2 linked regions of the Rhinolophus ferrumequinum genome follow. The protein of the gene in region 2 interacts with the protein of the main gene of each other region in a pairwise test. Links are inferred from orthologs where the notes say so. Each region holds a gene or a part of one and is shown on either strand. Other genes may lie near its edges.

Region 1 (7,284 bases), on a different chromosome or scaffold from region 2:
TATGCTCCATGCAGATACTATAGACACGAAGTTTGTTCAGCAGAGGAAACCACCAAATGATGTGGATTTTGGTGATGAAAAGTCAAAGATACTAAAATTCCAGTAAACTGTAAAATCGTACACCAGTTACAGAAGTGGAACACAAAGCACACAGCCGATGCAAATTCTGTTCGTGGTGAGACAACGTCCAGTGCAAGATACTCGGTGATGCCCACTGGAATGTGGCACACACTCCGGCTGGAGTCCCCAGACTTCTGGAAAGTCAACTTACCTCTTTACAAACACAGCTATGCTTTCCAGGGAAAGGGGCTACACTGGTTTTCTGCTTTGGGTAGATTTTTACCAGGTGGGTGTCAGAAAAGGCACGCCCGAGGTTTTCTGGTGCAGTGTGTTCTTGTAATTGGGTGGTTCCCAAATTTTAATACAAAGAAGAAACCCCCAGGGGAGTTTGTTTAGGATGCTGATTGCCAGGACCCAACCTGGGGTCTGGTTCATGAGTAGTCCCTGAAATCCCCGAATTCAATAACCGACTCCAGCCAGGTAAACTGTGATGCTGGGGACCCTTGGACCCCCAGTTTGAGAAACCCTGAAGGGATAACCATTTATCCCAAGATTTCACTGTACAGCAAATGCTGGATCTTGGAACCTCAACAGCTGACAAGCAAGGAAAACACTTTGGGCAGGAAGGAATGATCACAGTGTGGTTGGCAGGGAGAGCTCTTTGCAGGGGGAGAGGTGGGAAGCACCACACCTGATTTACGTCACTGGCTCATCAGCCTGCCCTTGGCCCAGGAACACACGCGCACACTGCAACCACCGCATCCCTGACCAGAGACGCGAAGCCCAGACTCACATCCAACCAGACATGCACCTACCCAGCCTCCGTTATCCTGGATCCAGGTGTGCAGGTGCCGGTTCAGGTACTCGGTCATCCACAGGGCGATGTTGTCCACCAGGGGCGACATCTCCCGGTTGACGCTCTCCACACACATGACCCCACCGAACTCAAAGAAGGCCACAATCCTCCCCCAGTTCACCCCGTCCCTGAAAAGCTCCTCCACCACCGTAGCAAAGCGTCCCCTCGCGGTGAAGGGCGTCAGATGCAGCTGGCTGGACATCTCGGCGAAGTCGCGGCGGTAGCGACGGGAGAAGTCATCGCCGGCCTGGCGCAGGGTCAGGTGGACCACAGGTGGCACGGGGCTGAGCGCAGGCCCTGCGGCGGCAGCGGGGGCAGCCAGCGGCGGCGGCGGCGAGGTCCTGGCGGGCGCCGGGGTGCGCTCGGGCTGGGAGGAGAAGATGCCCGGCGCGGGGGTTGCCCCCGAGGACGCGGCGCCCGCGTCTCCGGCATCCCACTCGTAGCCCCTCTGCGACAGCTTATAGTGGATGTACTTCATCACTATCTCCCGGTTATCATACCCTGTTCTCCCAGCGTGCGCCATCCTTCCCTCGAGGAAAAGCAGCCGGGTACCAACAGCACCTCTCGCCGCCTCTCCCGCCCCACGGCCCCGAAGGAAAGAAGAATAGTTATAATCCAGCTATTTTATTGGATGTGCTTTGCATTCTTGGATGAGGGGGTGTCGTCAGTCACGCGGAACACTTGATTCTGGTGTTTCCCTCTTGGCATGAGACGCAGGAAATTTTTATTTAAATTCCTTTCGGATCTTTATTTCATGAGGCACATTATTATTACTTATTGTCAATATCAATCTACTTCCTTCGTGATCCTGAAAGGTTAAAAAAAAAACAAAACTGATAAGTCCAGATCAGGTGCATTTTCCTGTATACACTGGGTGAAAGCAGAGCATACACACTACAAGTTACACGGCTAAAAAGAATGTATTAAACTGGCCGGAAATTAAACTTACTCGAATGCACTTAAAGACAAAATCGCAAATGTTTCTATTGAAAGTTACATTAAACCAATTTCCTGTGCAAAGAACTTACTTGTATTTTTTAAGGACAACATGATCTTCTGTCAAGTATCCTTTTTTGTGAAAACAAAACAAATGCATAAGGCAAAGAGTCCATCGATCTTCAGAACTCTCCGGTTATAGCTGCTTTAAAACTTCCAAATGAATCAGGAGTTGGAGGGGGCTGCGGAGGAGGGTGGTAAAAATTAGGAGAATTTCCAGATTGATTCCCAGACTTCTTCACAGAAATGTCAATCCGCAGGAATCCCAACCGGAGATCTCCAGCACGAGAAAAAAAAAAAAAAGAAAAAAAAAGGCAGCGGCGGCGGCAGCAGATGAATTACAATTTTCAGTCCAGTATTTGCAGTCTTGTGATTTCCCCCCTCTCGGCAATTTACACGCGCGCACACACGCGCGGGCACAGACATGGACCCCTATCCGCGGGACCGCTCCACGCCTCCCCGGGAGAGACACGGGGACTGGGGGCCCGGTGGACGCGCCGGGCACGGGGGCAGGAATCCTCTTCTGATTAAACTCCGAACGGCAAATGCATTTTTCCGAAAAGCTGCTTGATAAATGAAGGCAGGACGCGCCTGGCCCGCCGGTGCCGAGCGCGAGGAGCCCGCGCTGTGTGTGGTGCGGCGAGGGGTGGGGAGAAGGAGGTGGTGGGGGAGGGTTTTATTTTTTCCCTCTTTTCCTAAAAAGGATGACTGCTACGAAGTTCTCCCCCCTGGACCCCCTCTTCCGCTGCACCCCACCGGCGCACCCCGCCTCCGGGCTGCGCACCCTTTCTCCTCCTCCTGCTCCTGCGCGGCGGCGCTGGCGGCGGCCGTCTCCGGCGCTCCCGCCGCGCACCCGCTCCCGGCGATGACGGCCGTGCCGGTGGGGAGGGCCCGGCGCCCGGCACCTTCGCTGGCAGCGGCGACGGTTCCAAGGGGAAACCGAGAGCGGCGGGAGGGCGGGCAGGAGGGCGGCGGGCGGGGGAGGGGGCGGGGAGGAAGGGGGCGGGCGGGGGGGCCTGGCCTCTTACTTCATTCTCCGTTCGAATCGACTGGTTTCCTGTACGTACGTCACACTGTTCATTCAAAAAAAAGAAGAAAGAAAGAGCCCTCCTCTGAGCGGCCCCACCGCCCCTCCGCCCCGCTCTCCTTCCCGGGTTAAAGGAGCCGCTGCCGGGCCGGGAGCGGCGCGCCGGGAAGGGAACACATGGCGCGCAGGGCCGCGGCCGGGGAGGGCGCGCCTAGCACGGCCCCCGCCCTCCCGGGCCGCTCCGCCCGCCTGGCCGGTGGGTGGCGCGGGTGGCGCAGGCCTCCCGCGCGGCCGCGGCGCGGTGGGTGTGCGCGGGGCCTCCTCGGGCCTGCGGCGGGCTGGGCGCGCGCTCGGGGGCCGGCGAGGGGCCGGGGGTGCCCGGGAAATGGGACGCGCCCGGGTTGGCGGCGGGTGGGTGCGCAGGGAGGGCGCCGGGAAAAAAAAACAAAAAAAAAAAACTGCGATCCTTTCTAGCCGTGTGTGTGTACATCGTGTTACCAGCGCTTGGCCGCCGCCTGAGAGACGACCGAGGCCGATGCTGACCCGAGCACAGGGACCTCAGCGCTGCCCTCCCGTAAAGAGAGGCGACGCTGCACATTCATTAGCCAGGGAAGCCCCAAGCGTCTTGTTTACTTTAAAGTTGCCTCCTAGGTGTCCACGCGGAACACATTCTGGGACACCATCCGTGACCAAGGCCAGAGAGAGCTCTCAGCGGGCCGGTGGAGGGGCGAGTGGGGGATATCAAGGGCTTTGAAATGGTTCTGTCAATGTTTTTTCTCTGCTCCTGGTACAGAGTTAGGACTGTCCGCTGCGGAGGTCCACGGGGCGACTTTAGGCCCACAGTCCCAACACCAGGGTGGGTGGGTCTCTAAAGGCCTCCACAGTCGCCTAGCAGCCAATCCTAGATGGCCACACCTTCTCAGTTGTACACACACACACACACATACACACAATTTCACACACATGTACACACAAGAACACATTTTTTAATTCATCAGCATTGGTAGCCCCAGGAGAAAAGCACAAGAGCACAATCAAATTGCACGTTAACTATTTTTATCCCTCAGAGTCTTTGACATATAAAGCCCCGAGAAAAAATGTTTACTACAAGCACAGCAGCTTGCTTAATAGGGCTCAAGTACAAATATATAGGGACACTGGATAATTGTGGTCTTAGAAATATGACAAATGAGCACTGCACTATATACAGATATACTGTCTGACACTATTTTGCCTCATTCCTAGTCTAAAATCAAAGCATTTATTCCTAAGCAAAAAAAGCACAGCAAATTATTCCCCTTTCTTCATCTTTCATACCCAATCAGCCCCCATGCCAACCTCTTGCATGTAGGAATGGGTGTGTGGTCTAAACTTTGCATTTAGGCAAGAGGGAGTAAAGGAAGACGCTCCATTCTGTCTTCTGTTGGCTGTGACAGAGTCCCCCTTTACCAACGGCAGTGGCGGAGAGGTGTTCTGGCCTGCAGATAGACACTGGGTATAGATTGACCTGAGATACATATTCCCACAGAAATAGTAGAAACCCGCCTAATGCCACAGCATTCTGGTTTAAGGATCTTCTCAGAACCGTGTCTTAAACCCCCAAAATGATTTAAGAGGAATTGAAAGCCTTAGTGCTTCTGAGACCCAGCATTTGAGTGAGGAAATGAAAGGACAGAGCTGGAAAAGAGACTGTACTTCTGCAAAGGGGACAGCCGGAACGAAACATACCGCCATTCCCAGGGAAAGAAAAGCTTCCTTGTTTCTCCCTCTCCTTTGCTCCCTAGAGCCACACTTTACAAATGTCCCCAGACTGATTCCTTATGTGGCATCTTGAGCATAACCATTCTTAGGATAGGTCTGCATTACAGTCCTTAGCTAGGGTTTATATTCCCTGGGAAGGTTCTGGATACTCTTTCAATGGAAGGAATGAAACCCTTCATTCAGATTCCATGTTTATTAGATTCCACTTTAAAGAGTGAGGTCAAGTGTTTTCCTCAGAAGTGTGTGAATTAACTCTTTGTGTCTGGGCATTGGTGAGGTGGTGACAGAGCACAGGGCTATCAGGAGTCCTGGGTTTGAATCCTAGATCTGTGACGGAGACCTTCCAACAACTGCAAATGTTGCTCTGTGGGCTTTTCATTTCCCAAAATGTCTTCCACTTTTAAGAGCCAATGGACGACCCGTTTGCCAGCTTTGCCTGCCTGGCTGGATTCTAGGAGGGTAGATTCTAGGAGGCCTGTGTTTTCCCTCTTTATTCTCCAGTCTACCAAACAAAAAGCTTTTTATTGCCAGTTTTCGCCACCTACTGGTTAATGTTTAACAGTATCATTCAGAAGGCTCTCTTCATCCATTACCAATATAAATATTTCCAAAGTTTATGAAATTCAAAAAGAACATTATTCTAATCTGGATGTACTAGTGTTTATTATAGGTATGTATTAAATCTTCCCAACTATTAAATTTTTTATTTAAAATGAGGAAAGTCATCATTAACTGAAAGGGAGTGGACACCTAATCGGTAAGATGAAAGAGTTAAAAATATAAAACATGACCCGAACAATTTAGGTACACTGAAGTGGAAATAAATCCATAAACAAAACAAACTGACTGGAGAGAAACAAGTAGTCTATATCGTTTTCATAAAATAAGAAAAATGAACTACTTAAAAAATAACATCTCACACACCTAGATAAAAAATCCAAAACACTGATTTCCAATTTCAAATATCTATCTTCTCAATTAGTTCCAGCTTTATTGAGATATAATTGGCATAAATCTTATACATTATAAACTCTATGCTAAGTAGTACCACACTCTCAGAGGGTTTGTATACTTTGTTGGCAAACATTATATAATAATGTTACTAATTAGTTACTAATATTGATATGAACAGTAACACTGTTTCTGATTCACTTATGCTCTAGAGCCTTTCTTCTGTAAGAGTGATCACAAGGGAGTCATCTGCTGCGCGCCCCGAAACTATCCTTGGCATCATCGGGAAACCCTTGCCAAATCTAAACCAACAAGCTTTGGTTTAACAGAGAAACCCACCTGACTAATTTATGATGGGTCTTAAACCTCAAAAAATATTTAGAATAATTAAGCAACAACCTTTGAAAGTAGGCAATGAAAAGCAGATAAATCATTCCTTGTGCAAGTTTAACAGTGGGCAAATAATGTTTACTTTTGGTTTACAAAGGAAAGTGCCAGCAATTCACTTGTGGCAATTTTTTCCTTTCAAATTAACGACTTGGCTTTTGAAGTGAAATAAGAGTAGGAACTTATATTTTTCAAACGCCTACTGCTGTCGTTGGATCGAAACTGCAGTAATAAAACCAAACAACATGAAACACCATAGTACTAAGGGGGTAATTGACAAAGCATTTACATTCTTAATGTGCAAAAACTAACTTTTATTCTCATAATGCTATTTAGCACACAGCGCAGTATCTCCCAGATGTTAATTCCTGACGAACACATTTAGAAAAATCAAGGTTAATATGTTTGTTTCCTAGGACTGGCATAACAAAATACCACAAACTGGGTGACTTAAAACAGAACTTTATTCTCCCACAGTTCTGGAGGCTTAAAGCCCAAAATCAAGGTGTCAGTGGAGTCATGGGCCCTCTGAAGGCTCCAGAGAAAAAACTTTCCTGGCCTCTTCCGGCTTCTGGTGGTGGCTGTCCATCCTTGTTGTTCCTTGGCTTGCAGCTCCATCACTCTGATCTCCGCGTCTGTTGTCACATGGCCTCCCAGTGTGTCTGTTTTCTATTATAAGGTCACCAGTCATATTGGATTAGGATCCTAATAACCTCATCTTCACTTACTTATTTTAGTAAAGATCCTATTTCTGAATAAGGCCACATTCACAAGAACTGGGGGTTAAGATGTTAACATCTTTTGAGGGCACACAACTGAACCCATAACAGTATGTATCTAATACTGTGTTTCCCCGAAAATAAGACCTAACCAGAAAATAAACCCTAGCATGATTTTTCAGGATGACATCCTCTGAACATAAACCCTAATGCAACTTTTGGAACAAAACTTAATATAAGATCCAGTCTTATTTCAGGGAAACACAGTATGGTATCTCTCGAATAAATGAGGATTGTTTATTCCAGGGCCCAAGGACTCAGCAACCCCTAAATTTCAAGGGGAACCATAATCTTTCGAAAACTGAAATCTGGCCATTTCATGTTTCCATTCAAAGTTCTACACAGGCTAAAATCTCAACTCCTTTTGCACAGCATGATGTGGCCCAAGCCTACCACCTGGGTGCCCTTCCACTTTCCCTTCTCGCATCTTCATTAGCTTTGTGTGCTGTCTGGAATATGCCAAGCTC
Region 2 (7,407 bases):
TCACTTACCCTCTGGCCTCACTGCAACCCTCTATGAAATGCAGGGGTTGGGCTACGATTTAATGCCTGAAACCCCTTTATACTCCCAAACTGCAAGCTCCACATTCCCCTCCACAGGAAAGATGAATTATTTTCCTCTTCATACACCTTTGTCCGTGGGGAGCTGCCACGTGGTGAGTTGCCAAGACGAGCACTGTCCCCATACACAGCAGTAACAGGGGTGGGGGCGTCTCAGAGCAAAGGGCTGAGCACTGACTGAACTGACGCCTGCACCCATGAGCAGCTCTGCTCAGAAGGGGGCCTTCTGGGAAGTAAGCCACGCACCACTCCCGTGACACTGTGACACAACAACATGCATGTCAGCAGTTGTGCATCTAAGAAGAAAAAGGCACAGAACACCTTGCAAGTCAACAGCTCTAACTAGAATGGACCAGGGAAAGGGGGGAACACACATCCATTTTGCTGTTCACTCCTTGGGGAGAACATCCTGGTGCCAGATACAAGCAAAGGGGAAACCGTTTGCTGCTGTCGGAGTTTGGCAACCAAAGCTCTCAGTTGTCATGTGAGGTAAACAAGAGGGAACCAAATCAAAACAGCACACGGAGGACACGCCTGCTCCAGCGAATCCAGAATCCATGCGGCTCACATTTCGTGGGGCAGCTGCCCAGTGACTGACTCCTCCCAGCCGGAGCTGGACGGTGAGCAAGTGGAGTGCCCTACAGCACGTACACACTAGTACACTCGGGAATCCTTACCATGAGTTTCCACTCCCTGTGTAACCATCTTTTTATAGAATAAGCAAAACACAAAGCAAATCTTTTAATTCACGAGCTGGTGATTTTGCATTGCCAGTGACTCAGCTGTTTGGTGTCAGTCAGGAAGCCCCTCTGGAGGGCTCAGAACTCTTCCAGAGGCTAAATCTGAGCCAGTGAAACACAGCGGCAGAAGTTAAGTAGTTTGGTAATTAGGAAAAGAATGATTCTAAGGCCAAGAGTTTATGAAATACCCCCTGGATCCTGCGTGAAAAAAGACAGAAAAGATTAATTCCTTAATCCAGTTCAAAGAAAACAGTCAATTTCAAAATTTAAGGAGATTACAGGATTTTAAAAATGTGGTTGTACTTGGCTATGAAAAAGAATGAAATCTTATCATTTGCAATATGGATGGACCTAAAGAACATTATGCTAAGTGAAATAAGTCAGACTGAGAAAGACAAATACCATGTGATCTCACTTATATGTGGAATCTAAACAACAGAATAAACAAACAAAACAGAAACAGACTCAGAGATATAAAGAAAAAAGTGGTGGTTGCTAGATGGGAGGGGGGTGGGGATGAGGGAGCAGGTGAGGGGATTAGAAAGAACAAACCGGTAGTCACAAAACAGTCACGGGGACACGAAGTACAGTTTGGGGAATATAACCGGCAGAGCTGTAAAGATGATGGAAGGTACCCGATGGGCACTGGACTTATCAGGGGGATCACTTCATGGACTGTGTGGATGCCTGACCGCTGCGCTATATACATCTGCAGCCGAAGTAAAATAATATAAAATGTCAACAATGATTAAATATATGTAAGTGTGCACACGTACATAAACTACAGCATGGGGAAGGCAGTCAATGGGATTGTAACAGTCACACACCATGTCAGAGAGGTAGTGGACTGGGGGTAGTAGACGGGGGGGTTACCACTTTATGAAGGATGTAAATGTCTAATTAGTACATTGTTTTGTACACCTGAAACTAATAAAAAAAAAGTGGTTGTACTTTTAAAATACACGACACACAACGCATTAGGCTAATTCAGCCTCGCCTAATAAAAATACAATGCTGCTTTAAGGACTAAGAAAAAACCTAGCAGCTCACTGAACTTATCTGAACAACGTTAGGGTTTAAGCTCACGCTCAGGTCTGAACAGTCCTCTCCGACGCTTACTCACGCTCCTCCTGCCGAGTCAACTCTTGCCCCCGAGAACGCAAAGGTGACGCGCGGGCTCCTCCTCCCCCGCTCCCGGGCCCCCCCGAGCGGCCGCGCGGCCGACGCGAGGCCAGAGGGCGGACCGCACGGCTGCCACCGACCCACGAAGCAGCACAGCAACCCTCCGCGCCCGCGGGTCTGGAATCGCCAAGGCCCCGCGCACGAGCGGCAGCGCCGGGTGCCCCAGGTCCTCCAGCTTCCACTCTCCCGCCCGCACATCCCTGTTGTCTGGGGACGACCCTCTAGCCCAGGCGAACGTAAAGAGCGGCCTGCCCGCAGCCCACGGCAGTTGCTCCGAGCACCGTCCATCTGTTCCGCGGAGAAGCGCGGCCGGGGGCCGCGGGCCCGTCTGCATCACGGGCAACCCCCTGCCCTCCTTCCTCCGACCGGTCCCGGCGGCCAGGACGCTCCACGCTCTACTACTAACGCCCGTGCAAGCCCACGTCACACCCGGCTTCTGCTCCTGAAACCCACTGGTCTCACCACAGAACGTGGAAACGTGGCCCTGAAGAAGCCATTCGGACCCGAGACGCGACTCGCAGACGGCGCTTCCAGTTGCCCCGAGCCGGACAGTTCAGGCTCCTCGCCGGCCTCGGCCGGCGTCCGCGCCAACCCCCCAGCTCGGCCCCTCCCCAGGATCCACTGTCCGCGGGCGCGGCAGCCGTGCGCCCCGGACACGGCCCCGCACGGCCCCCACGTCCCGGGGGCCCCGCCGGCCGCCTGGCCCCACGGGCAGCCAGCCGCCACCTGCCCGCCGTGCGCAGGGACGACCCGCGAGGTGGGCGCAGCCTCGCGCCGGCGACCGTCCCGGCGGCCTGGCCTCGCCGTGAAGGGGCCCCGACAGGTCCCGCCCGCCTCACTCGCGTCCCCGCGTCCCCACGGCCTCCCCTCAGCACTCCCCGCCCCGATCCCGCGAGGCTCACCCTGCAGGCTCTCCTCCTGTAGTCCGGGTGTCCCGCTCTGCGACATGGCGCCGGAAGGAGGGCGCAGCGGCCGCCGGGCCGGGATCGGGTGGGCGCCGGGCGCTGCAAAGAAGACCGGCGGCAGCTGGAGCACGAGCGCGGGCCCAACAATTACAGCGGCGTCAGCCCAGGACCCCGACTGACTGACGCGCGCCGGCAGACGCACCGCAGATAAACAGCGGAAAAGCGGCGGCGTCGCCGATTGGCCGCGAGGAGGGGCCTGCGCGTACGCAGGGCGTGGGGCGCGCGGGGCGCGTGCGGCGCGTGCGGCGCGTGCGCGGGGTGGAGCAGAGGCGTCGCCTGGCGATCCGAGCGCTCGTGCGCGGGGTCTGAGGGGCGGGGCGTGCGTACGCAGGCGGGGCGGGGGCCCGGGGTGGGCGGGGCGGGGTCCGGGTGGGCGGGGCTAAACTGCTGGAGAGGCGGGGCACCGTGGGAGGGGCTCAGTACCTGTTGGTCCCGCCAGGCCTGGGCGCCTTGCGGACGGAGCTCGCGGCGGACGCGCGTCCCACCGGTGGACGCGGGCGAGGTGCAGGTGAGCACGGGCGTGCGGCTGCGCGGGCCGGGTTGGACGCTGAGGCCCCCGGGCTGTCTTTAACGCTGCTGAGTTTGCTGTTCTCCCTCCAACACAGTAAAGGCAGTAAACTCGACACCGGGCAATGCGAAAACCGGACAGCCGAGGACCGCAGGGCTCGCTAGTGGACTGCGTGGAAACACACCGGGGCTAAGCCATCTGTGAAGACAGAACTGAGACACACCCGCGGCCACCAGCCAGGCAGCAGCCCCTCACCTGCAGTGACCAACCAGGAGCCCAGCCTCCTCTCTTGGCAGGAAGTGAGACCAGTGTCTCTAGCAACTGGAAGCCACACAGCAGCCCTGTAACAGTCAGCCCCAAACGGCCGGACTTGATCCATAACTGACAGCTTCCCCAATTTCTGTCCCCGCTGCCAGCTCAGGACCCACCACAGAAAGCCAGACGCCGCCCTGACCAATCTCGGTGTCCCCTGCTCCAGGCTTTCCGGTCCCAGCCTCCATGGGGACACACCTGGAGCCTCCCTTTCCACTGTGAAGTCTCCCACTCCCCTGCCTGCCTTTGGGTCTCTGCCAAACCCAGTGACGGGGACGGGTGCCAAGCACGCTCTGGGGCAGCAGCCCCTGCTGTCCTCACCTGGGGGGGGGTGTCTTTGTTTCCATTCTAGGTAAGGATGCCCTTGAGAGGGGCACTAAGCTTAGCCTTCTTTCTGGATGTAGAGGTTCTGGCCTTTCTTTCCATTCAAACGTTAGTTCTCCTTTATTCAGCAAGTCTTTTCCAAGCGCCCCTGTCACTGCAGTGTTCAGGATGGGTGCAGCAGCGGACGCACGGGACACAGCTGCCCCACACGGACACAAATGGCACGTCCCCTCATAGAATGTGCCCACGCCTGCCTCTTCTCTCTGGGCCCTTTACTGGGACGACTGCCTGGGGAAGCATCACTGGGGAAGCTGTCCCGTCTCCCAACCCCTGAGCGCAGGCTGCTTGTCCGCTGTTCAGGTGTTCTCACTTCTCGGCAGGTTCTGTGCTCTTCAGTGTACAGCGTCTGCGCACTTGACAGACATTCCCTAAATAGGCCTATTTCTAATGTTACCATATTGTGAAATTTCGTTTGATTTTTTTATTGCTAATATGTACAATGATCACGGACTTTTGTATGTCTCCTCACCCCTCAACCTGCTAAGCTCACCGGAACGTGTACATTTCATAAGCCCTCTAAGTCTCTCTAGGCCGATGACCCAGAAATGTTTAAATGGAAATGTTTCTTTTTGCAACCTGATTTTCCCTCCCCATCTAGAACACTCTACCAGTCTGTGGGGGGGGGGGGGAAGAAGCTCCACGGAAAGTAACCTCAGAGTGATCTGATCACAAATTCCTAACGGGCAGGGCAGGTCGCGGTGAGTAGTCCCACCCCAGGTCTGTAACTTCTTTAGCAAAAGGTTTCTCTTTGCTGTAAGCAGCCCTGTCCATTGTTTCTGTGCATCCAGGTTAACAGCCTTTGAAAGAAGCAGAACCACCCTCAAGAGAGCACTGTAATCTTAACTGTCCTGTAATCCAATCCCCGCCTTGCTCCTTCCCACCTCCTTGAAATCTTCCTTAGTTCCTTCCTAATCTCATATGCATAAAAGAAACTGCAAACTTATTCTCCAAACATTTATCTCAGTCTGCTGAGATCTTGCTTCCAGGTGTATCCTCTGTTTGGCCCAAATACATTTTTATAAGAAGTAATCTACAGGTTTGGACATTCTTACGTTAACAGGTCCCAGCAACTTCCATCATTTCATGTCCCCACCCAGGGAGCCCTGAGGCCTAACTTCCAACAGCGTCACTGTAAAGCTGCTTAGTGCCCCGGGGAAGGTTATAGCAGACAGGGTGGGTCAGGCTGCCCAGGGGAAGCCTGAGGAGCCCCCAGTCAGAGTTGGGGATCAAGGAAAATGCAAGTGGGAAATGGGAAAGAAAACGCGTGGCTTGAAGATCTGCTCCAGTTGGCCTACCCTGAAAAACGGCGATGGCCAACAGTGGCCCAAGGAGACAGGAGTCTCAAAACTGAGATCCTGGGACATGAGGACAGTAGGGAAAAACTGAGGAAATCTGATTAGCATAAGTCTTACTCACGTAAGATGTTAATAACGGCAAATTAGGTGTAGGGTGTGTGGGAACTCACTCTACTATTGGATTCATCATTTTTCTGTCGTTCTAAATTAGTCATAAAAATAAAATTTATTAAAAACAATATATTAAATGCCACTCGTATGAAAATGTATAGTATTAAATGCATTTTAGGACAAGGTATAAAAGAAATGAACTAGGTAGTTTAAAAAGCTAGGAAAAAACCCTAAATAAAAGAAATTAATACATTTGTAACATTATTATAAAATTAATAAAAATTAAAGCAAAATTAATGAGTTAGAAAACATATTTGCCTTCATTAATTTCAAATCTTTGGTGATAAATGACATTTTGAGCACTACATGAGGATCTGATTATAAATTCAGAGGAAATTTTAAAATATGATATAAAATCATATACACTTTTATAGTTAAAAAAAGAAACCTGAATAAAATTATTTTTCAGGAAAATATAAAGTTGATTCAGGAAAGGAGAGCCTCTGAAGCAGTGGAAGTGATTGGCACGTGGCTGACGGTCTGATTTCCCCAGAGACAGAGCTCAGGCAGTTTTACAAGTTTCTGCCCAACCTTTAGATCGGGGAGCATTTCCGTGTGCTTTCAGGCTGTAGTCAATAGTGAGATTTTACCAGTTCATTCTATGGGGTCGGTACAACCCTGATTCTAACTTCGCATCATGCTTTCATAGTAGGAAACAAAATATTGAGCTATAGTCACCTAGGAATATGCATGGAAAAGTACTGACTGAACTGACAGCAAACAGAAGACGAATCCATTACAACCATGTAAGTTCTCTCCTGGGACGGTAGGGATGGTTTGACCACATATTTAACAAAAGATTAAAGAAGAAAAAGTAGCTTGAGGATCTTAAAAAATACCTGACAGATCAAAGACTAAAAATAATCATTTTAGAAGCAAAAATAATTTCATGTGCATTTCTGACATGAACACACGCTAGAAACAAACTTAGTAAGTTGGGCGGGGGAGAGGGCAGTGGGGGGACGTGGGCTCCTTCCTCCTTGCCCTCACCTGAAGCCCTGCACGCTGCGTGACGTCCTGCCTTTTGGTCTAGAGAAACGGAAATACCAGAGCAGCCTCCAGCACCCAGCACCCAGCACCCAGCAGGAGGTGCCGGGCCCCAGCGCCCAGAGTGCCAGCCATCCATCCTTGGGACCAGGCGTACCACTGTGTAGCTGCCCTCATTCCTGCCCATGTTTCAAGGCTAGGACTTGGGCCTTCAAAACAGCAACTCTGTGAGCCCTCCAGAACCCATCAGGAAATCCCTTCTCCTCTCCCGGCACTCCAAGCTGGCTTCTATTACACTCACAACAGAGACACCGCCCTGGTAAAAGTAGCGCACCTGAAGCCCACGATGGGTGACACCGTGGCATCCCCGTGAAGTCAGCAGCAGGCCAGGGGCTTGTCAGCAGCCCGAGCTCTGAGGTCTGAGGCCGTGCCAGAAGACAGGAAGGAGGAAGGAAAATTTCACAACACCAAAAAGGAGGAGGCGAGACTGCTACTACTGACCCACCTCATCCCCCCAGGTAGGTTCCCTGAGGGCAGGCCCGGCAGGCAGCAGGGGTTCAGTTAGTATCTGTTAATTAAAGCAGTGGATTAACACAGAATAATAAAATTGTTTCTCTGAAGATTCAGGACAATCAATGGAGAAAGTCTTTGAACAAATAAAAATTTAATAATGTGTGTCATAAGGTAAGCATACACAAATCAATAGCTTTTTTAAAGGCTAGCAGTGACCAATTTGAAAATGGAAAACATCTCATAAGAGTGACAACAAAACATATCTAAGAATAT

The links. The genes of interacting proteins can lie anywhere in the genome.
Region 1: the proteins of BNIP3 (region 2) and BCL2 interact in a two-hybrid assay, tested with the Homo sapiens proteins (2 studies listed by BioGRID and IntAct). The link is inferred for Rhinolophus ferrumequinum from reciprocal best matches to the Homo sapiens genes BNIP3 and BCL2.

What each region holds. Positions count from the first base shown.
Region 1 is NC_046302.1:50,484,970-50,492,253, forward strand, and holds the start of BCL2 (apoptosis regulator Bcl-2), read right to left. Parts: upstream 3,091-7,284; 5' UTR 2,941-3,090; intron 2,685-2,940; exon of another isoform or gene 2,095-2,684; 5' UTR 1,945-2,094; intron 1,725-1,944; 5' UTR 1,440-1,724; coding exon 876-1,439; intron 1-875. UniProt on the Homo sapiens protein: Suppresses apoptosis in a variety of cell systems including factor-dependent lymphohematopoietic and neural cells. Regulates cell death by controlling the mitochondrial membrane permeability. Appears to function in a feedback loop system with caspases.
Region 2 is NC_046299.1:993,241-1,000,647, reverse strand, and holds the start of BNIP3 (BCL2/adenovirus E1B 19 kDa protein-interacting protein 3), read right to left. Parts: upstream 3,105-7,407; 5' UTR 2,948-3,104; coding exon 2,902-2,947; intron 1-2,901. UniProt on the Homo sapiens protein: Apoptosis-inducing protein that can overcome BCL2 suppression. May play a role in repartitioning calcium between the two major intracellular calcium stores in association with BCL2.